3 linked regions of the Schizosaccharomyces pombe genome follow. Changing the gene in region 1 together with any one later gene gives a genetic interaction. Each region holds a gene or a part of one and is shown on either strand. Other genes may lie near its edges.

Region 1 (8,084 bases):
GCAGTTGTAGATGCTTTTTCTAAATTAGAAAATATTGGGCTTCAAACGTTACGCTTACAGTATAACGAGATAGAGCTGGATGCTGTCCGGACCCTAAAAACTGTGATTGATGAGAAAATGCCGGATCTTTTATTCCTTGAATTAAATGGAAACAGATTTTCGGAAGAAGACGATGTTGTTGATGAAATACGTGAAGTCTTTAGCACCCGTGGTCGTGGTGAACTAGATGAGCTTGATGATATGGAGGAACTTACCGACGAGGAGGAGGAGGATGAAGAAGAAGAAGCTGAGTCTCAAAGCCCTGAGCCGGAGACTTCTGAAGAAGAAAAAGAAGACAAAGAACTTGCTGATGAGCTATCAAAAGCTCATATTTAGAGCAACTACTTTCCCTCTCGAACCCTGCTCCGCTGTTTCCGAAATTTTTTAACATATTTCTATTGTTCATGCTAGGCGGTAATGAACGATTGTGGTCAACGGATGGTCTATATCGACCATTCGATTTCCTTCTGCATTTTTATCAACATTCTGTCTTTTTACGCGGCAGGACCGATAAATAGTATTAGATTAAATCTGTATATGACAGAAAAAAAATTCCCCTTTCAAAAATGGCGAAAAGGTTCTTTACGTTTTATTAATAACCCACTTTAATTAAGTATTGGGTCAATATAATATGGTTTGGATTGTATCTGTGTAAAGTTGTTTTGTTGTTATGTCGTAAAGCCTGAACTATTTTTTCAGTATGTCTGTAAACCTCGAGATAAATTTTCTGTAAGTCGCAGTTAACTTTTAAGAATGTGGGGATTCCATTACTTGAGCTTGGTGTTTCCAAATATGATTGTACTACTGCAAGGACGAATTAGAAGCTTCACCTAGCATAGTACATACTCTACGTCCAACGCCATCTATTAATGTCAAATCCACCAACTCGGCCAACTTTGTATAATTTGGTGAATGCTGATGGTGAATTGTCTTACAGAGCTCGTGATTTAGTACAGGATTTTTCTGTTCCAATTCCACATGAACTGCCGGATCCTGTAAGTTCACAGCTTCTGCCAATACTTGTTTAACTAATCTTTTTATGTTTAGGATTTAGTTCATAGCATCCAGGATTTTGCAACAGAATACATGCTTGCGACAGGGAAAAAGTCATTCGAGTGTTTGGATGAAAGTGCTTTATTGGGGTTGGGATATTTGGTGACTGAATGGATGGATGCTATGGTTACTGATTGTTTGGAAGAATTTGAAGAAAGATGAATTATCCTTGTACATTTTACTTTTCATTCGTTTGTTTCGAGATGACTCCGTTACATTTGTATGACTAACTTTGATGATTTTTCTATATGGCGTAAAGTTGTTAAACAGCTATGAATGCGTATTTGTGTATTGAAATTTTTATCTTTTGATAATTGTTTAAAATCAACATTACAGATGTAATTACATTGCTTGACATGTATGCAGGCTGCTGAAAAGCGAGAAGCAACGATGCTGTTAAGATTTTAACAAGCTTTGCGATACATTAGCAAACATATTAGGACTTCAACTATTTTTTTTTTGCAAAGCCTTTACTATTAAATCCGAATACTGTTACCAGTGAATCGTAAAGACAATCACTTCAACTACCCAAAGCATAATCCAATATACATTTTATTACTTGGTATTTATACACGCTATCTAATGATTACACTTCAAAGGGGTCGAATTAAATACGTAGTCCATGCGTATTTATTAAAATGCAAAATTAAGAAATGCCAATTAGGTTGTTTCATATCGATGAATGAAACGAATGACAAGTGACATCTAAGAAGAGATCATACTTTAAAAAGTAGTCCATATTATTTTAAACAGAAGTGAAAAAACGAGTGTTAACTTTTCAAGCAATTTCTTGCTGAGACAATGGTGGGGGTGCTTTAGCTTTCCAAAATGCGGAAATCCATGTCCATATGACAGCAACGAAAATAAAGGCAAACAACAAAAAGAAAGTAATAAATGCAACAATTTCTCTATAAGAGGGTTCCAATACAGGTTGGGTAGGGGGTAGGACTGTAGGAATCGGTATATGAGACGTTGATGTAGGTGTAGCTGTGGCAGATACGGTGTAAGAAGTAAATGAAGTAGACGTAGGGCTCAACAAGGTACTTGAGTTAGTCAGATCGCTATTTGGTTCAGAGTATATTCCCAAGACCATCTCCTTTGGAAGCTCAAGAGTGTCATAAGGGAGTGGTGCAGTATTAGAAGGGTTTTCAGATTCTCCCCACAAAGCCAACTGCCAATTTTCAAACGTACCTTCATGCTTTCCACCACTTCGATCATTAACCAGTAACTTCCAAACCCCCTCTGGAGGTTCGGCCCAATGCTGCACAGTCATGAACGTCCAGTCTAAAAACCCCTTACTATTCTCATCATACGGTCGTTCACTGGCAAGGATTGAACGAATGCCGGAAGGGCTTTCCAAGAGAATCTCCAATGCTCCTCTTCGGTTAAAAGGTATACACACCCTAACAGTGACATGTTCTAATCTTTTGAAGTTGCTTTTCTCAATCATATCCTTAGTAACGGTAAATTCGCTTACCATTTCAGTTATTGTCTCATTGTTAACACTCCCGAATGATTTATTAACATTAATTTCTGGAGCAATGAGCCAGGTTTGTGGATTCACGACCTGCCAATCCTTAGCCACCTCGACGAACTTCGATGCATCCAATTTACCAAACCCAAAATGATGGGAGAACTGGAATCCTGCTGGAGTCTTTTGCCATTCTGCATTTTGAGAAGGGCTATCAAAAGGAGATGCTGAATACACTGTAATATGCTGAATGTCTCTCCAACTAAGGTCAGGACGAATCGAAAGCGCCAAAGCATATACAGCAGATGCTAACGGAGCAGCCGCTGAGGTACCACCATGACTTCTAGTACATGTGCCTTCAGGATTTGTAGTTAATATAGACAAATGTGAGCCACTACTATATGCTGAAACTAATTGCGCAGCACACACCTCACTGTAAAATGGGATTTTATGTTCAGCATCAACAGCACCAATGGTAGCACTGAATATGCTATTCGTGTAGCCATCAAAATTGCAATTATCATGATAATGGCCTCCATTTCCAGAAGCGAACACAAAAATCGACCCAAGACCATTTCGGCCATTAAGGACACCGTTCATCAACGCACGACGAGTAGCCGTATTAGGAGCATCCATTGCTCTTCCATCATCTGCAGGGCCCCAGGAACATGAATATATATGATTTGTTTGAAAGCCATAATTCAGTGCTTCCGATTCAACAGCATCAGTAATAGGGGCCGAAAGAATACGAAGTCCAGCGACCTTGGCGCGTGGAGCTATGCCTACGCCACAAACGTCGTTCCAAGCTGCAGCCACTTCTCCAGCACAACGGGTGCCGTGCTGATCATCTGATAACTTTGGCAAAGGGTCAGCAATGTTATCATTGAAGTCCCAAGAACCAAGCGAAGTGTAAGCAGCTTGCAAATCTGGATGTTTAAAATCAATTCCATCGTCTACAAATGCAACGGTAACATTCTCACCGAAGTAACCGGCGTCCCAGACTTCACGTAGATTCAGATCGTGTCCAGGATTATTCGAGTTGAATATGTGCCATTGGCCATAAAAGAGAGGATCCGAAATTCCAAAATGATTAGAGAACTCATTCAGTAATTCATCAGATTCACTCGCATCCCGCTTGTAGCGCCATCTGGGCGTCTGGCGCTCCAATTCCAAGATTCCGGCATCAATGCCTCGTTTTCGAATTGAACTTTGGACTGAATCATCGCTCCCCTTATGTAGCTTAATTAAATGGTGATACTTCAAATTTAATAAAGGGCGCACATACTTAGCACCAATGGCTTCTGCTGCTACTACAGGATCAACTTCAGGTTCCACTTGAACTAGAAATAAATCATCGTTTTCTAATGGAGAGCAAGAAGAAACCAAAAACTGTAAAAATATTGCAAGAATTGGCCCACATAGCAAAGCAGGATGCATGGTGCTGGGACGGTGTATGCACTAGGTGGCTTAACAGATTATGGTGTCCACTGTACCATAGTGGTGGCTATGTACAATAAAACAGCCATTCGACTAAAACACATATAAAGTGTAAAGCTGTCAGTATTTAAACTTTTCCAATTAAGAAATACATGGCAAAAGTGAGCAATTGCTAAACCGTGTGTCTACTATAATACCATGTTATATATTACATTTCATCAATACAGAAAAATAGAGCATCTACTTGTTAATCATGAAATAACTTTAAGCATTTAATAGTAAAAAAAATATAAACGACGATGAAAACATTAAAAGTATGAAATTTAGAAACCATCTTCATCCTGGTCTTAGTAATATTACAAGTTTTCATGATTAAGTGTAAGATTTGAAAACAAAGGGTTAATTTATAATTAAAACAACTGTAGTCTGGATAAAGAAGGAATATAGTTAAAATGTAAAACCATGTGCCAGGTTGACTATTTAATTAGTTATGTGCATTTATTAGCTAGGCATGAACTTGATCCAAAAAAAAAAAATGAAAGTTGAGAATACGGATGAGATAGTATACTTTCGGAAGAAAATACTTTTATGGAATACTAGTACGAGACACTTGTCAAATTGTAAGCATGTTGACAAAATCAAGCTTTTGGTCTCTCCAATCGTATGTTTCTAGTCTGAGCAGGAATTCGTACACGGATGCCATCCAAATCTTTTCTTAAGAGTACTTGGCATCCCAATCTGCTTGTTTCCTCAAGACCAAATGCTAAATCAAGCATGTCTTCTTCATCTTCTTCCGGGGGATCCAAAAGTTCGTAATGCTCTGGATCTACGATAACATGGCAAGTCGAACATGCAACAGACCCTTCACAAGCGCCTTCTAAATCGATATTGTTAGCATGAGCGAGATCTAAAATACTATCACCTTCATTTCCCTCAATCATGATTTCACGTCCTTCAGGCGTGACGAAAAAAACTTTGATTCCAGTGCCCGGCAAAGGCTTTTTAATTTCGGAATGGAATGATGGGCGGAATGTATGGAATTGGCGTTGTTGAGTCAAAATGGAAGATGAAATGCTACTTTTGGGAGGAGAAGAGATTAATTTTGTCCATGAGCGGATGTTTTTTAAAGCGTATTCTGGATGCAAGCGCTGAGCAAGTGATAAGGCCGCGGTTAATGTAACAAGACTACCGGCTTGATGAAGGGCTGCCAAAGGTACAGGGACAACATAGATTAGAGTCATAATACCCAAAGTAGCTTGAGCAGTTACAACGCCTGTAACAACGTTAATGCTAGTTTTAATCTTCTTAGGCAAAATGTTTCTTTTAGCACGGGAAAAAATAAAAAGACCACATGCAGCAACAAAAGTAGTAATAGCTAAGATACGGTGTTCGAGTTGAACAAGACTTGGGTTGTCAATCATGTTTCTCCATATAAGATCGGACTTGTCGTCTTTCCTACAAAACCTTTGATCAAATAACTCGCTTTTAGATGGAGCAAGTCTTCCTTCGCCCATTTCCGGGAAAGTACAATAAATCATTCCGGCATCCAATCCAGCAACAAAGGCACCGGACAAAAGGGTGATCAGTACCAAGCCAACAAATGAGTTAACACTAGTACGAAATCCTTTCATTTTCTGAACTGAAGAAACCATTGAAGTCAATTGAGATGTGGAGCCACTCTTCATAGATTTCAAAAAGGCATGTCGTTGAAGGATTCCATGCCCAGTCCACACCAAGCCAATATAGAGAGCAACGGCAGCGGCTAAATGAGTAGCCAAGCGATAATGACTAACACGCGGATGAGAACCATCACTGAAGAGCTCTTCTGAAAGACCACTCTTGACCATCCACCAACCGATGACTCCTTGAAGTCCAACGAGTCCCGTAAGGCCGATTAGTCGCTTGCTTAGCCAAGGAGATGCCCTTTTAGTCACAATCATGTATATGGAAGGAAGAAGGATTGTCAAGCCGATTCCTCTACCGAGGACACGATGAAACCACTCCCAGAAAAATATGTTTTTAAACTCATCCACTGTCATATGGCTGTTCAGCTTCTCAAACTCTGGTGATTTTTTGTAAAGCTCAAATTCTTGGTTCCATTGTTCATCAGTAAGAGGAGGAATTACGCCAGTGATGGGCTTCCATTCAGTAATACTTAACCCGGATTCAGTTAGTCTAGTAATGCCACCTACAACAACAATTGCAAGAACAAGAGCAGAAGATCCAAGCAGCCAAAAGGCGACCTTTTTACTCGGAATTTTTTCGGTTTCCTGTAGGATGCCACCTGGTGTAGGAGCGACTGAGTTACTCAGCCGGCGAGCAAAAAACTTTTCAAATGAATTTTTATTAAACTTACAATCATTCAAAAATAAATTCTTAGTCCGTGACAAATTAATTTCATTTAAAACACTCGATCCAGAGAAGCTCCTGCTCATTCTCCAACTTGACCTTCCAAGGCAAGAAATGTCGCAGCCTTTCCGTAAGGGCTGAAGCAGGAACTGTCTCATCAGACCTGATGAACGTGAAATGTTCATTGGTAATTGTTTACTTTTGTTTGCGTTTCGCTTAAAAAAGTAGGTTCATGGAGAGAGAGGAATGGTACCTAACCTCCCGGTTCTATACCACAATAATCTAACGGCGCACTTTCAGAGTCGCTATAAGTAGACAAGCTATATTAACGTAGGCCGTTTGATATATACAAGATCTGAGTGGATCGTCGATGAATAGTTTAATTTGATGCGACAATTCGCTGAAATCTGCACGTAGCATATTTGAATCGATGTTTATATTTATGATACTTAATACTCAAAATGTACTAGCTTCATTTGCGTATCCAAAAAGTTATTTAATCTAGTACATGTCGCATACGGAAATAGCTGACATCTTAAATAGTTAGTTCTTATAATCTTACGAACCGAAACTTCTATATGACAAACATAAATCATTTAACTGCTATAAATTAATATTATTATATTGTACAATGTTCTAAACGTGCAAATTAGGAACAGAAAAATGCAACGACTGAGGGTTCGTTGCTCTGAATCAAAAGAAACTAAAAAAAAAAAAAGGAACTAGAGTTTTCGCCCAAACACTTAGTCATTAAATATTTACAAACGAAGAAGAAAAGAATGCAGAAGCAGGTGACAGTAAAATATGCTCCGAGTACCAATCATCATAATAAAAAAATGAAATGAAAATACATATGAAGGTAAAAAGATGCAGTCATCGTACCAACTTTAGAATCGTGAAAACTTGTTCGTATACCATATCCAATAAAAAAAATCATCCACACATTTATATGGTTTCAAGATTTACAACATCTTCTAGAATTTTTATCGCGTAAATGAAGGGTTAGAAACTGTAGCAGCAGGAACGGTGTGAGGCCTAGCTGTATCGCCATGTGCTTGATTATCCTTCGACTGTTGATGCAGAATGTTTTGTTGACGTCGTTGTCGATACTCAGAAAGAGATAGCTTCTTCGGTGCTGAGGTAGGAAGAGCAGAGGCTGAAGTGTTACTAGGCTTGACTACACTTCCTTGGACCAGATTCGAATTGGGCTTGTTTTCGCTTCTTGAAGTATTTAACGCATTCGAGATATCATCACCGTTGTTGGCTTTGTGGTCCAAAATGTTTGGATTGTTCGTAGGAAATTGGTTGTTTACCAAAGCATGGCGACTCGTTATAACTGGTGCTGGAGCTGTCGGCAAAGGAGGCGTAGTTACAGGAGATTTATCAAACGAAAACCCGACAGGACTAACCGAAGGTGAATGGGATCGAGTGCCATTCTGTCTAGAAAAGTTAACGTCAGAAGACCTTTGAGTGTCGTGAACATGCGATTTATCTTTTACAGTCCTTAACGTATTAAAAAACATGGACCCACTCTTTTCTTTACTCGACGGCTCGAGTTTCAATTTTGAATCTGAATTTCTATGGAAAGAAGGATGGACCTTATGTGGTCTGTCACCTTTAGTCTTAAAGGCTTCCGGCTTCCTTTCGATAGATAGCGATCTTTTATTATAATCAGGTTTGCCATGAAAATCATTTGCAATGCTACGGCGTCTTTTAACTGACGGCAAATGATCAA
Region 2 (7,884 bases), 2.5 Mb from region 1:
AAGCGTACTTAAGAAACCGCAAAAGTAATTAAATACTTGAATCAACATATTATAGGTTTAATCGATTATAAATGCATTAAAATGGGGACAAAATGAGAACAAAAATGAGAACATTGAAACATGCCAAAAACGTATGACATAAACAATATTAAGCATTATCTAAACGGATTAAAGAAAGAGAAATTCTTAAATTGAAGGCTTAGTTTTTATGAAGACTTGATGTTCAACTTCTTCTGGGATGATAAGCAGACTTTTCCAAACGTAAATTCTTTGTAAAGTCATTAATAGTGCGTTTTTTCCACCCTGGAAGACGAACAACAAGACAGGTGATATCGTCCACAGCACCAACGTTTTGAGCGTAACGAATGATATTATTCGCAGCATCTTGAGGGGACTCAGACAGTTTTATTATATCGACAACTTCATCATCCGATACGACATCTGTAATACCGTCCGAAAGAAGAGTTAAAAACGACCAGTCATCTCTTAGTGAATGAATAGAAGTCAATTGAGGTTCGGCAACAACACCTAATTTTTTGAGTTTATATCCGTCTCCAAAACTACGGGTGTTAGCGACCCAAGCGAATCTTTTCTGTCCAAATGAGTCTCTTGAAAAACCCATGTTGTAACGTCGTAGCCGACGTGCTTCCTCGACATCAGCTGGATGATGTTGGAATGTTAAACGATGGGCCCTTCCAGTCCGAGAATCACACAATAAAGCTCTTGTATCGCCGACATGAGCAAGGTGAATAATGTAACTATCGCTTTCCCAATATGAGAGATTATTTTTTGAAGTTATTATAGCCACGGTACCGACTGCGCCGGGTACAGCACTGTCAGGCGATGGCCGGGCATAGTTAGTTAAATAATCCATGTCCGCTTGTAAAAATGAATAATATAGCCTCGCCCTCCAAAGCAGATCTTCGTCCCTAGATTGAAGAACAGTGCGCAAAGAAAATGGAGGCTTTAGACCCGCCATGTATCCACCCACGGAATGGACTTCCTTCAGGATTTTCTCTGTATCATTTAAATCTTGATTTTCAATAATCTTCCCCAAGTTGGTGGAAAGAAACTCACTACACTCAGTACCTCCGTGACCGTCGAAAAGCCCGTAGAAAAAAGGACTATCTCTGTTAGTAGTATCTTTTAGGTTATTTAAGTAGCCGTAAGCCATACGGTCTTGATTTGTCGGCGAATCTCCTCTAGCGGTACATAATCCAAGACTCTGAGGTGCTTTGTTCATACTTATCTTCAGGTAGGGACCATTGGAGGGACTATAATACTGAATAAAGGATCGATAGAAATAGTTTTTTGAGCAATAGGCATTTTGAATATATAGAGGTGCCCGTAAACGTTTAAGAAAACGGATCGACATGTATTAATGGAGAAGGATTCTCAAACGTGAATCGCTTGAGATGGTAACTTCGCGGCGTGCAAAACAAACCGTGCAAGAAACCGGTAATTTCTAGTAAATTTTGCTAAAAAAAGATTAATGATCAAAGGATTAGAGGAAAGAAAGTTTTCTTTCCTACAGATATTGAAGCTTCCAGACGCTTTGCTTGAAAGCCGAGGTAAATTTCCAGTTTAAGGCTAACTCGAAATACCAAATAACAGGGGATTTTAAAAAGAGTTCAGCATACACCAACAAGGAGAAAGTCTTACACGATTCTATACAAGCGGTGTAAAGCATATAGTGTGTTAAAACGAACCCTGTAATACTATGCAAACAAATGCGTTAAAGCACGATAAAAGAAGTTAAGGAAGATATGTAATGAAAGGAAGGCTGTGAGCATTGTAGGGATAGTTCGTTTGATGAGCATGTCTTTATTTCATTTTCGTTAATATTTCAATTTTTTTTGGTTGGTTTGAGGGGGTGGATTCTACCAACCACTTTCATTTTTCCTATCCAAATATGTTTTTTACTTTTCTATCTTATTTTTTCACTATAGCACATTAGCACTCTAGATTATATTGCTTTGTTAGAGCAAAACAGATGGAGTATATAGCTTATCGACGACAATTCAATTCAATTCAATCCAACCATCAGAGAAATCTGACTATGTTACTCTTTAGTTTATTCCTAATAAGCGCTGCTTGAATAAAGTGATAAGTGCAACAGCTCCGATGATGGCAAGATATTTAGCGATTAGAGATTGTTTCGTTTCCAAAGTACCAAGTACTTATAACGAAATATATACAAAAGCTCCCAAATTCAAAATTGCTGGGTGTACGGCGCCACCAAAATACAGAACCGTCATTCATTTGTTCCAATATAACGCCATTGTTCTCTGTATTGTTTGCTAATTGTTTCAACTTGTTGAACTATTAGTGATGGTCTAGTCCAAACGACACCTGGAATGAGAGCGCATTGATGAAAGAGCTTCAACACAGCGCCCAATCTCTCTTACTGTGGGAATCTCAAACATTGTCAATGTTGTCACATGTTGTTTGTTCGTATACAAAGAAATGCAAATGCCATCCACGCATTCTGTTCATCATTAAAACTCTTTGATTAAATCCCTTGTACTGCATTAAATTTCATGGCTGCATAGAAGAAAAGTTACATAGGAAAGAGCCAGCGATTGCTACGAATACTCGCTCGATCTCACTCCACAGGCTGTTTCTTTAACAATTTATATAAGAATATACAAATAAGTAAAGTTTCATAGAAAAGAAGAAATGGATTTTATAGTGAAAATGGGGAATTTTAAAGTCCCTCATTGCTTCATCTAGCAACTCTTTCTTATATACAATAACCGAAATACGATGCATCGGTAATTAACTGTTTACGCACACACAATCTCTCAATCTTCTCTCCTCTAAAATAAATGTCTCCAACCAATTTGTTGATAAAGATAGAATGGCTGTTGTAATGTAGCAAACACTTATCAGGGGATGGATGGATGGATGGATGTTTTTCATCAAGCACTTGTTTACATGAGTGGGCGTTAGCTGAACACCGAGAGTCATGTTCATTCAATTGTGCTAGTGTTTTATAATTTATTTGTTTTCGTTTCAGTTTACTGTTTGTGTAGAATGAATACTAGTCATGAAAGGAAAGAATAAACCTTTCTGAAAATGAAATGACATTGAGTGCATATTGTTGAATATGGATATGCTGTTGCTTCCATACATTTGGAAATTTTGCAAACCTCTTTTTTTATGTATGTCCCGATCAATGTGTGTATCCGTGGATTACCAAGTTATCAGTGAATCGGCTTCCGTTCCTCCATATCTTTGAATTGCTCTTTTTTCTGCCCTAAGCAGCGCAATGCGCATGAAGCGTTATCATTCAATGTACCGAACAGAGTGGCAGTTGAGTGGCCCTTACCAATCCGGCCTTTCAAAGTTTATCTAAGAACCACTTGTTTGAGCTTATCGACCAATCACAGGCAATGGATCACCGTTCCTCCACTAACCACCTCGTATCGCTAGATTAGAGGGGTGACGTCAAGTGAACATATCGTGACTCGTTAAGTCAGCCAAGTAACGAATTGCGAAAGGGAGGGCGCGCTTGAGAAAGTGCTAATACAGCGATGCATGCAGAACAGTGGCATTTGACGAATAATCAAGGGAGAAAGCAGAGAAGTAAATGAACAGAATTTTTTTAAAAAAAATTATATTACAATTGAATTGAATGGATTTGGAATTGAGTTTTGCCTGCTTTTTTACGGAATCTCTGCTTCTATCTGTCCAAACTCCCTTTGTTGATGTTCGAGGGTTAGGGTACGGGTGGTGGATAGACTATATAAACGAAAGAGGTAGCCCCCATTGAGTCGTGTATCAGTACGCTCCTCGTTACAAAGTCAAACGTCTTAGAACAAGTTGCATTGGAATTGAATTTACCAGTGCCACTAGTTTTGATTTTGTTTCATTCACAGTCGTTTTTTTTCGCTTTGTGTTTTTCATTTGCTTGCAATTTTTTATTTTATTAAAGTAATTGTTAGAGAATTATTATAGTTTCTTTCTCCCTTTCTTTATAATAACTCTTAATCCCATTGTTCGCCCATATACTACTTACTATAGTTTGTATATAGCCCACAATTCTTTTTTTTTTTCTTTTATTCATCTCTCTCGATTTCTTCCTATCTGAACTTGGGATAGATAGTTAGTTTTTCAATAGTCTTTGTCATCTGTTTTCCTTGTCTTTCTTTCATAAGTAAACACGGAACAACGATACTTGCCTACTGTTCAGCAATCTCAGCAATTTAACCGCCTTCAATCACTACCCCAACCACAATCACAATCACTTCCCCCTCCAACAGCCTCGTCTTCTCAGCATCAACATGAGAATTCCTTATTCAAATCTTTTTTCTGCCGCCGCAGGTTTGGCCCTCTTCGCTTCTACTGCCTGTGCTGCACCAGTGATGCCAGCGACTGATTCGGACATTGCCCATGCTGGTATCCGTCCTGAGCTCGATAACGCTTTCTACGACTCCCACGGCGAAGCCGCTACCCCTAAGCACAAACCTCATGCTGGTCCTAATGCCGCTCCTCTCTTGTCTGCTTCCAACGCCGATACCACTGGACTGGACTCTCACTATATCATTGTTTTGCAGCCTGATTTGAGCGAACAAGAATTCCAAGCCCATACTAATTGGGTCTCGGAGATGCACCAAATGGACATTGCTTCTCAAGAAGATGAGTACTACGATACTAGTGATAGTAATTACATGTTTGGCTTGAAGCATGTTTATGACTTTGGCGAGGACTCTTTCAAAGGTTATTCTGGTCAATTCAGCTCTAACATTGTTGAGCAAATTCGCTTGCATCCTCATGTCATCGCCGTCGAGCGTGATCAAGTTGTCAGCATTAAGAAACTTGAAACTCAAAGTGGCGCTCCTTGGGGACTTGCTCGCATCTCTCACAAATCCGTCAAATACGATGATATTGGCAAATATGTTTACGATTCCAGCGCTGGTGACAACATCACCGCTTATGTTGTAGATACCGGTGTAAGCATTCATCATGTTGAGTTCGAAGGTCGCGCTTCTTGGGGTGCAACCATTCCCTCTGGTGATGTTGATGAGGATAACAATGGTCATGGTACGCATGTTGCTGGTACCATTGCTAGCCGTGCTTATGGTGTTGCAAAGAAGGCTGAAATCGTTGCTGTCAAGGTTCTCCGTTCCAGTGGATCTGGTACCATGGCTGATGTGATTGCCGGTGTTGAGTGGACTGTTCGTCATCACAAATCGTCCGGCAAGAAAACCTCTGTTGGCAACATGTCTCTTGGTGGCGGCAACAGCTTTGTTTTGGATATGGCTGTTGATTCTGCCGTTACCAACGGTGTTATTTATGCCGTTGCTGCTGGAAATGAGTATGATGACGCTTGCTATTCATCTCCTGCTGCTTCTAAGAAAGCCATCACCGTTGGCGCTTCCACTATAAACGACCAAATGGCCTACTTCTCTAACTATGGTAGCTGTGTTGACATCTTCGCTCCTGGACTTAACATTTTGTCTACATGGATCGGTTCAAATACTAGTACTAACACCATCTCTGGTACTTCTATGGCAACCCCTCATGTTGCAGGTTTGTCCGCTTACTACCTTGGCCTACACCCTGCTGCCAGCGCTAGCGAAGTTAAAGATGCTATCATTAAGATGGGTATTCACGATGTACTCTTGTCTATTCCTGTTGGTAGCAGCACTATTAACCTTCTCGCTTTCAATGGTGCTCAAGAATAGATTTTACTTCATGTTGGATGCATTCGATGTTTTCAATAAGTCGGTGTTTGATTTTCAATACATCGAGTAATTGTTTTATTTTTTTGAAAACGTTTGCTCCTTTTATGATTGTTCTTTACAAACAGTTTATAATGATTGTTATGACAATAAATATTTTATAATGCAAGCCACTGAATCACGTTTAGAATTTTTATACTTGAATGAAATTTTTTTGTGATGTTCTTCCAACTTACAATGTTAAAGTGTAATTGTAAATGTCCTCTTCTTTTATTTGTATTTGTATTTATATTTGTGCCGCTGTTATGCAAGAGCTCTTCTACATTTAATATCGCCGCCTATCTCTTCATAGTTTTCTTTTACAATGTGATTGCTGCATATAACCATTGTACAAATAATAGGGGTAAAATAAAAAGTAAACCGAACTAAAATGCCTTTTACTTGACCGACTTACTTTTTTTTTTGAACTAAAGTATCCTTGTGGTTACTTGTTACGTTGACGCAGAGCATAATAATAGTAATAATAAAATAATTTTAAATTCATGAACTAATAATTTACATCATCTTAAAAAATACATGTCGAGTCTTTGGGAAGCTTGGCTACCTTAGAACGCTAGGCGAACGATTGGACCTCATGGATAATCTACTTTCACTTCTCTTTACTCTTTGACCCTCCAGCAAAGATCTATATTTATCAAAATCGGTTTCCAAACTTTTGACGCGTTCACGCTCTTCTTGAAGAGCATGTTCCGTCCGACGTAGTGCAAATTTCCATTGTGTTTCTGAAGCTTGCACATCTTCTAATTGATTTCTCAGTTGCGCATTTCTTTCCTCCAAACGAGAAACTGAGCTCTGTATTCTCTTTTTATCATCATCAAATTTTGATATTTGAGCTTCCAGTTGACGGATAGTCCTATCGCGATTGCGACATTCATCAATTCCTTTAATTCGTTCGATGTCGGAAGCAGCAAACGATGCTTCCAAATCTGATATTTGCTTTTGTAGCATTCGGACGTCCTTTGATGTTGATATGGGATAAGTTTTAAGATCTAAATCAAACAATTTGAGCTCCAAATCCTTTTTCTCCTTTTGTAAAACTCCGAGTTGACGATGCAGTTGAAGATTTTCTTCTCGATGATTATTACTATCTTTTTGAGTTTTTAGCGCAAACATTTCGATCTGTTTTATGCGTTCAACTAATGATGATAGTAAGTCATCTTTTTGAGCAAGGTTACTCTTGAGTGTTAATACCTCTTTCTCCATTTCAATTTCATCAAAAGGTCTTGCAGAACTATCGAATTTTTTGTTCAATTGCTCTGAAACTTCGTGAAGTTTTCGCTCAAGGTTTCGATTTTCTCTTAAAAGGGTATCTTGATCTTTTCTTAATGTCTGGTTTGCTTCTCGTACTTCTTGGAGTTGTGCAGTCAAAGAAAGAAGTTGGCTTTGGGCATTTTGTTGCGCTGTTGAGGAAGAATTATTGACACGAGAAAGAGATTGTAAGTCTGCTTGAAGTATTGAATTTTCTTTTAACAAATTTGTCTTTTCCAAAACTAATTCGTCAAATTTGGTACGGATATCACCAATTTCCGCATGCATGTGCCGATTATCTTGTCTAATGCGCAAGTTCTTCTCACGTTCTTCTTCCAACTGTACTTTGAAACCATTTAGCTCCTTTTGATAACGTTGAAAGAGTAGTTGATCCTTCTTTTCTCGTTCCTCGAGATCTTGAACACGAATGACATGAAACTCATCAATTTGTTTCATCAGTTTTTCTTTTTGCAGCAGCAAAGTATTATAATCGTTGCTCTTTTCAACGTAAAGAACTTCATACTCCTTTTGTTTCACGACAGCATCTGCCAGTTCGTTTTGCAGATCAGCATTTGTTGTTTGAAATCCGCGAGCGAGTTCTTCAACTTCCTGTAAACGCCCGGTAAGATAATTTTTAGACCTTTCAGCTTTAGAAAGTGAAGATTCTGCATGCTCATTGAGTGACTGGACCATCGCAAGCTGTTCGCGGTACTTGTTAACTGTAGAAGTAAGCTCCTTTATCTTCATTATATTAACTTCTTCTTGCAACCACTCGGTTTCTTCTTCTCCAGAATAATTAGTTATACTACCATCAAAATTGGGAATTATTAATTGAGAAGCAGTGGGAGCCTTTAAAGGAGATGTAGGAACAGAAGGTCCTTGCAACCCA
Region 3 (7,442 bases), on another chromosome or scaffold:
AAAAACGATCATATATATATTTTATTGTGAAGACTATTTGAGAATATTTTTGGAAATCATGTATTCTCTTTAACAAATTCACGTGAATATCTTCTTTCGTGTCGTTATAGGTTCAACAAGTAATTCTTTTATCGACTTATAGTATTTTTTTAAAACTTGATTTTTGCGACGCTCGTCTTACTTACTCACTGCTGTCCAAGTGACTTTTCGTTTGTACCTCTCATAATTTTTTATTTATACTTCTTAAAAACTTGAGCCTCTCGTTGTTTATCACTTATTGATCGATTGACTTCATTTTAAGTTGATTTTTTTCTATCTTAACTGTGCGATTTTGAAAGTTCAACTCATCTTTCCTTTCAGCGAACACATTTAACTAGCTCAGTTACATACATTACAGCTTTCGTTAAAAGTCTCTACTTTAGACGTTATCATAAAAGATTATACAATCTGCTTTTGTCTTCTTTGCTATTGCTTGATCGTCTGGATACTATCCTTACAATTGCACTAAATCAAACCATCTATTTTCTTATTTTTATTAAGGCATCCATCGATGACTGGGTTACTTAGTATACTTTTGCATTACAAAGGCAACGGCGACTTGGCTACTACTGACATCCCTTCTCACGAGAAAATTCCGTCTGCTAAACGCACGGCTGTACAATTTTGTATTGGTCCGACCCATGAGCAGTCTCCGCGTATGTCGACCGTCAGTCAGGGCCGAGTTACGTTTGCAGTGTTACCTACAAAACCAAAAGATGAAGTTACCTCCATGAAAGCTAATGGCTCTCGTCAATCGTCTTGCATCGTTTCAAATGCCCGAAAACGCCAGTCTGTTCATTGCCTTTCTAGAAGTCCAATTCCAAGCACCCGACTGAAGGAGAATGACAGTAGACTCTGCAGTCCTCTTGCTTCTCCGACAGGCGGACTAAAGAGACCAGCAAAAGTGTCTTTTGCACTTGCTAATACTCCTTCCCGTAAAGGGAATCTTGTCCCACAGTCACCTAGGAGAACTATTGCTACTACTTGCAAAGGTGTTTTAGAGGATGTATTGAAAAAGGACAATGAGTTGAAGTTTAACGATTCTGATGAAGAAGATGAAGTCGATGATGAGGAGATTGAAAGTTTCAACTCATTTTCTCGTAAAATGCAAACAATCAGTAACTCTCGTTATCGTGGTTCCCCGAAACCAAACATTGAAAAGCAAAGTTGCTCCTCTGAATCCGATCGCGTTTCTCAAATCAGCGATGATGAGGAAGATGAAGAGGGATCCGCTGATGAGGAGGATGAGGAAGATTCAGATGTTGAGCTTTCCGAATCTTCCTTATCCGATGATGAGGATTCTCCTCTTCGTTGTCCTTCTACACCAGTCCAAACAGCTGCTGCTCCAAATGAAAGTCAAATTCCCGATGATACGGATTTCGTTCCTGGTACATTTGACGAAGATCAACCTGCATGTTTAGCTTTTGCTTGTTCCTTAACGCACGCGAACTCTAAGAGATCAATAATGTTGCCCCAGGATATAGATCCAACGTTTCCTGATTCGGAACCAGAAGATGATGGTCATGCAAGTTCTACAGTTGGCTCTCTTTCTAAAGAGGAGGCCCGTTTTAAAGCTAAAGCCAAATGGAATTACAAGTCTTCATTTTCCGCACATGTGTCTTCTGAAGTTTTGCGCAATAGCAAGTCACCACCTCTTGACATTGCTCGTAAAGCAGTCGGCGCACATCGTGTTTAAACCAAAGAAAAAATTGGATAATTATCCGTTCTTGTACATTAATAAATGGAATAGTAAAGTTTAGTCGCATTTAGTCATCTAAGGTTGTTGTTATGTGCGCATTTTCTTCATGAGTTTCATTATGCTTTGTAGCATTATCCATTCGTTACGTTATCATTTGTTTGTTATACTTGTTAAAAAATAACATATTATTCCAACCAGTTATCGAGTATTAACAGAAAATATGTATATTAATAAACTATTTTACACATAAAAAGTACACAGTGTTAAATAAAACTAAGATCCCAATTGTGATACGATCACCAGCGCGATAAGACAAATTCTGGATTCTCAAAATTGCTCTTAAGGCAATCTACAAACTTAATTGCACGGCTTTTGCTGATGTTGTCCTTGATGGACAATGTCAGGGTCAAATCCTCAGTAGTAGATGGCTCCTCGTGACGATTTATTCTGGAATCGATACTATCGCTGTTGCTACCCAGCAGCATATCATAAACATCATCCAAAAATTCAACGTTATTAGAAGAGCTTTTTGTCACAGAACTGAAGTTCAGCTTTACATAGTCGCTTAAATTGCTAGGTAAACTGTACGGTTAATATCAGAGCAATCGCAATGAAAAGTCTTACCCTATCATAGAATCACGAATGTATTTGTGTAAATCTTTAGTGTTATTGTTTTTTGGGAATAGCTTAGGTTGAAAATTTGAAACCGAAGACTTTAATTTTACGATTGGAGCGCCTAGAAGTAAATCGTAAGCAGATTCAATTGAGTTAGGTTCAACTTTCGACAATTCAGATATAGAAAGAGCATCACCAATCATTGCTGAGACGACTTCATCAATACCAAATGCATCTTTTTCTGAAAAAGATATTAGCAATAAAATATAATAAAAGGACATTACAATACCTTTTCTTTTAGCTAGCAAAGATTTTAACTTTTCTAGTGAAATAGATCTCTCAAAAGTGATATATTCATCTTTCATCGGAACAGTTTTTAAAGTTTCTATCATCGTTGATTTCCTAACGGGAACGCTGTCTTCAGTGTACGATGGTTTTTTAGGCTCAACGCCAGAAAAATCCAAAACCTCGAGATTACGAACAAATTTTTGAAGAGATGAAGGAACCCCTTTATCAATTTTTCCGACGTGTGCTAATACATCTCCTTTGAGAAGGCGACCATGAGGGCCTGTAGCAGGAATAGACCACGGGTTTTCGATTTTATATTGATGAATCAAATAGCTAACGGAAGGAAGAAACGATTTGTTAACAGCATCGTTCGCTTGAGAAGTCGATTTGTGTTCCACATTACTTTTTGTTTCGCGATCTTGAACAATAGGCTTTACCTCTTCCTTAGAAGAGGAGAAAGATTGCTCTTCTGAGGACGCTTCATCCTTAGGTAATTCCAAGTCTTTCAAATTATCTTCTGCATCAGCAACGATGGCAATATTTTTACCAACAGGGATATTCGATCCTTTTTCGATTAAGACTTTAGCAAGTATTCCATTATCTTGCACTTCAACATCCATTGTCGCTTTATCTAAAATACCGTTAGTTCAAAGTCATGGATGTTTAAGATTATTAGTCTATCATTTTTCATACATACCAGTCTCAACTTCCAAAAGTATATCACCACTTTTAAACGAATCACCTACGTAAAGAATTAGATTTAGGAAATCTCAATATACCAACCTTCTTTAAAATGCCATTTAGTAATGTTTCCTTCCTCCATAGTAGGAGAAAGTGCAGGCATACGAAACATGCTTGCAACTCCATTAAGAGCAGAACAATGGAAATCTACAAAAAATTATTCTGTTAACTTCGTTATTTCAATAAAAAAAAACACTAGTACTCACATCTTTGTTTAACGGAAAGCGAATGTTTGCATGAACTCGCTTTCACACATTGGTGAATGTAATGCTTCAACATCGTTTCCCCTGAAGTTTACAAAAATTTAGCAAACAAAAATATAAAGAGTTGACTTGATATTGAGCAAACTTTCGAAATATGATGTTGGGAAAAGATCAGGTGCTGTGCTAGCAGCGAAGGAGATCTATATCTGATCTGTTAGTGTTCCCAGCGCTCACCAAACATAAGGGCTAGCATAATGACCCCCTAAATTTGTGAATTGCTTTCAATTTCAACATTAATCGGTTTTTAAGTTACTACTAGATAAGTATTTTGGGAGGGTAAACGCTACCGATGATATATAGTTTTCGAGAGACTTGGCTTCCTCCTACTGCTCTTATTTCCTAAACTTTTTGTTAAATTCAACGTCTTAGCTCTCACGTAAAAGTGATGTTTTGATTTTTTATTTACTCTTTTTCGCTTGCAATCATAAAACGAACATCTTACATACGCAACAAACCTATAAAACTTTGAAATTTTTTAAGTTCGGATCTAACACCGAACTCATTATCAAGTTGATGACTTTAATTACAGGGTGTTAGACAATTTGTTATTTTTTTAAATATTATACACTTTCCTTTTCTGGCCAACAGACATATCTCAAATTTGAAGTGAAGTTATATAAATGCTTTGTCTGGTATATAATTCTATTTTGTGCAAGCAACGTCGAATTTCTTTAAAAGTTTTACAACAGTTTCGCTGTTGGAACATCTCTAAAACTTTTCTATCCTATCGAACACTTACAGCCTTAGCTATCGAGACGTCTTGTGATGATACATCGGTTTCTGTGTACGTATATTTCACATATCCTCACTAATTTATTATAGCGTTCGAACCTCAGATTCATCATCACATTGCCAAAACGAGATCATTTGCTTAAATACACACCGGACAATTTCAAAATACGAGGCTTATGGTGGTATCCATCCTACCATAGTTATTCATGAGCATCAAAAGAATTTAGCGAAAGTAATCCAAAGGACTATCTCAGATGCCGCGCGTAGTGGTATTACTGATTTTGACCTTATTGCTGTCACAAGAGGCCCAGGAATGATTGGTCCCCTTGCTGTGGGTTTAAATACAGCCAAAGGCCTCGCGGTTGGCCTTCAAAAACCTTTACTTGCGGTTCATCACATGGTAAGTAACGAATTCCTAAGTTGAGCTTGTAAGATTGTTAATGAAGAGTTTGTAGCAAGCACATGCCCTTGCAGTGCAACTAGAAAAGTCTATTGATTTCCCATATCTTAATATTCTTGTCTCAGGTGGACACACTATGCTAGTGTATTCCAATTCTCTGTTAAATCACGAGATTATTGTCACAACCAGTGATATTGCTGTAGGCGATTATCTGGACAAATGTGCAAAGTATTTGGGTATTCCTTGGGACAATGAAATGCCTGCTGCTGCTCTTGAACAGTTTGCTTCTCCTGAAATAAATAGTACTAGTTATTCATTAAAACCGCCAATCCCACTGAATACTAGAGAAAAGGTGCATAGCGCGAGCTTCTCTTTTTCAGGCTTGGAGTCGTACGCCTGTCGAATAATAAGGAAGACGCCTTTAAATCTAAGTGAAAAAAAGTTTTTTGCCTATCAACTTCAATATGCTGCTTTTCAACATATATGTCAAAAAACGTTGCTAGCGTTGAAACGACTGGATTTATCGAAAGTTAAGTACCTTGTATGCAGTGGTGGTGTCGCTAGAAACGAATTGTTGAAAAAGATGCTGAATGATACTTTAATGGTATTGCAGTTTGAACATCAACCTACAGACATCAAATTGGTGTACCCAAGTCCAGATATATGCAGTGATAATGCTGCCATGATAGGCTATACTGCTATTCAAATGTTCAAAGCAGGTTATACATCTTCATTTGATGTTGAGCCCATAAGAAAATGGCCCATCAATCAGATTTTAACCGTTGAAGGTTGGCTTACAAAAAAAAATAAAAAAGTATAAATATTAGAAATTAATAATAGTTTGTACTATGGAACAATGAATGCATAATGAATGTAAAAATTTTCTATGCCAACAAAAAATAGGGTGAATATGTTGTACGACATAAAGTAAGAGAAAGAAATTTCGGGTTCCTGTCATTAGCAGGAAAATTGTGATTAGTTAACAAAGACAGGTTTCGAAATTGAGTGTCACCATTGATAATCAAGCAAATGCTTATTAGCTAGCATTTAATTTCCCCAACAGACCATCGATTAATTTTTTGAGAAAGAATTCAAGAGTTGCGTGAAGTCCAGTGGTATCCACTATTGCTTGAAAATCTTCCATAGTGATCTGAAAACTACGTCGGTCCTGACAACCACTAAAACAGCTTTTTAAAAACTCGCTTATAACGGTTAGCCGCTCTTCGTCCTTTTCATCTCCTTCATAACAGCAAAGCAGAATTAACGATTCTGAAAGTTCGACAACTTCTTCCGTCCTAAGTGTGCCATCTCTTTTCAAATCGTACAACTGAAAACACAAGATTTCAGAATGCAGTGCTATATCTGCTTTCAACCGTTCCAAACCATGAATGATTCTTTTGAAAGTTAAAGATGTTTCAGTAGAATCACCGTCTTTCATCCAAATATATAATCTGGTAAAAAGTTTCCGCTTACTACGTTGATAATGCAAAGGTTCACGAATCACACTTAAAGGTGGGGCTGCACAATCGACAAGCCTTTCAAATCCATTGAAATCAATCTTTTGTTCTAAGACGTCGCCGTGACAAATATTATTTTCCCCAATGGCATTAATGAACGCATCATATACCAAATCTAAATCAGTGTTCGATAATAAGGTAGTTTGGTATACGCTTCGTAAGTGTGATCGCTTGGTAAAACATCGTAAAGAATAGAGCACACTACTCTTGAATTCTTTTCTTTTGGCAGACACAAAACTATCGGTAATAAAATCAAAGTACTCAAAAGCGACAGCAAATAACTGTGGAAGGGTACACATAGAAGATCTACTACCTAAAGCAGCCATCTTTTCATCGGCAGCTGTTCCTTGGTTGATATGATCAAAACATTGACGAAACACTTTCATAACAGAAGAATCGTCTGTCGCATTTAAAATCCCTTGGGCATTTACTTTGAACAGAGCTAAAGCCACTTGAAAAAGAACACGTGGACCGTTAACGAATAGACAGTCTAATATCCTGAAAGCATAATCTAACCTAAAGTCTTTTATGAACAACGAAAAGAACCAGTTGATTGTAATAAGCTTCAAATCCATATCTAGCTCAATAATTTTCTGATATAAGTGAGGAAGCGTATGTTCTAAAACATACTCAAATACCGTTAAATCCAGTAATAGCCCATGTATTATCTTAGCGTAATACCCAGGAATATAAAACTCACATAGTTGAGAAAAAAGAAAGTATGCTTGCTCTTCTGTGCAATAAACCAGCAAAGCAGCAAGCACAATGTTCATAGCCTGACAATAACCAACCTCTTTATTGGTCTCAGAATAAAACAGAAGGATTCTTCTCAATGTATTAATGCCCGTAGGTGATTGATAAGCAGGATAATCAGGAAGACTTCGTGTCAAGTCCTTTTCGATTTCCTCACTATATTCACAACGGTTGTTAATAACGCTATCAATGTTCTTTGCGTAAAATCCTTTAGATTTCCATCTTGGAAACAAGCTACCAGAGCATGTTTCCCAAATGTCTGCTCGTAAATTGTTTGGGATACCCGACTGAACAAGCTTTTGAAAATTTGGAGTTTGTATGAGATTAAAATTAGCACCGTTTTTTTTTAGATATTGAATCCAGCTTTTGGAGTTATTTTCATTGATTAAACCATT

Evidence for each region.
Region 2: of krp1 (region 1) and isp6, extra expression of one rescues a mutant of the other (dosage rescue), as found in Schizosaccharomyces pombe (one study listed by BioGRID).
Region 3: of krp1 (region 1) and pgp1, extra expression of one rescues a mutant of the other (dosage rescue), as found in Schizosaccharomyces pombe (one study listed by BioGRID).

What each region holds. Positions count from the first base shown.
Region 1 is NC_003424.3:5,032,570-5,040,653, forward strand, and holds krp1 (kexin), read right to left. Parts: upstream 4,012-8,084; 5' UTR 4,001-4,011; coding exon 1,871-4,000; 3' UTR 1,618-1,870; downstream 1-1,617. Other genes in the region: RanGAP Rna1, read left to right, coding at 1-375; RNA polymerase I upstream activation factor complex subunit Rrn10, read left to right, coding at 909-1,034, 1,087-1,254; etp1 (monooxygenase-ferredoxin fusion protein), read right to left, coding at 4,639-4,877, 4,923-6,534; putative histone H3 lysine methyltransferase Set3, read right to left, coding at 7,333-8,084. UniProt on the Schizosaccharomyces pombe protein: Membrane-bound, subtilisin-like serine protease that processes the P-factor precursor and other precursor proteins. Essential for cell viability. Cleaves substrate on the C-terminal side of dibasic residues.
Region 2 is NC_003424.3:2,541,064-2,548,947, forward strand, and holds isp6 (vacuolar serine protease Isp6), read left to right. Parts: upstream 1-3,778; 5' UTR 3,779-4,286; coding exon 4,287-5,690; 3' UTR 5,691-5,918; downstream 5,919-7,884. Other genes in the region: mitochondrial serine/threonine protein phosphatase PP2C catalytic subunit Ptc4, read right to left, coding at 224-1,375; Myo3-like myosin II heavy chain myp2, read right to left, coding at 6,288-7,884.
Region 3 is NC_003421.2:1,048,053-1,055,494, forward strand, and holds pgp1 (metallopeptidase Pgp1), read left to right. Parts: upstream 1-3,817; 5' UTR 3,818-4,265; coding exon 4,266-4,429; exon of another isoform or gene 4,430-4,467; coding exon 4,468-4,777; exon of another isoform or gene 4,778-4,832; coding exon 4,833-5,597; 3' UTR 5,598-5,711; downstream 5,712-7,442. Other genes in the region: SPOM_SPCC1259.08 (uncharacterized protein), read left to right, coding at 551-1,735; pyruvate dehydrogenase Pdx1, read right to left, coding at 2,035-2,320, 2,363-2,594, 2,643-3,272, 3,339-3,383, 3,425-3,529, 3,589-3,661; GTPase-activating protein Gyp2, read right to left, coding at 5,814-7,442. UniProt on the Schizosaccharomyces pombe protein: Required for the formation of a threonylcarbamoyl group on adenosine at position 37 (t(6)A37) in mitochondrial tRNAs that read codons beginning with adenine.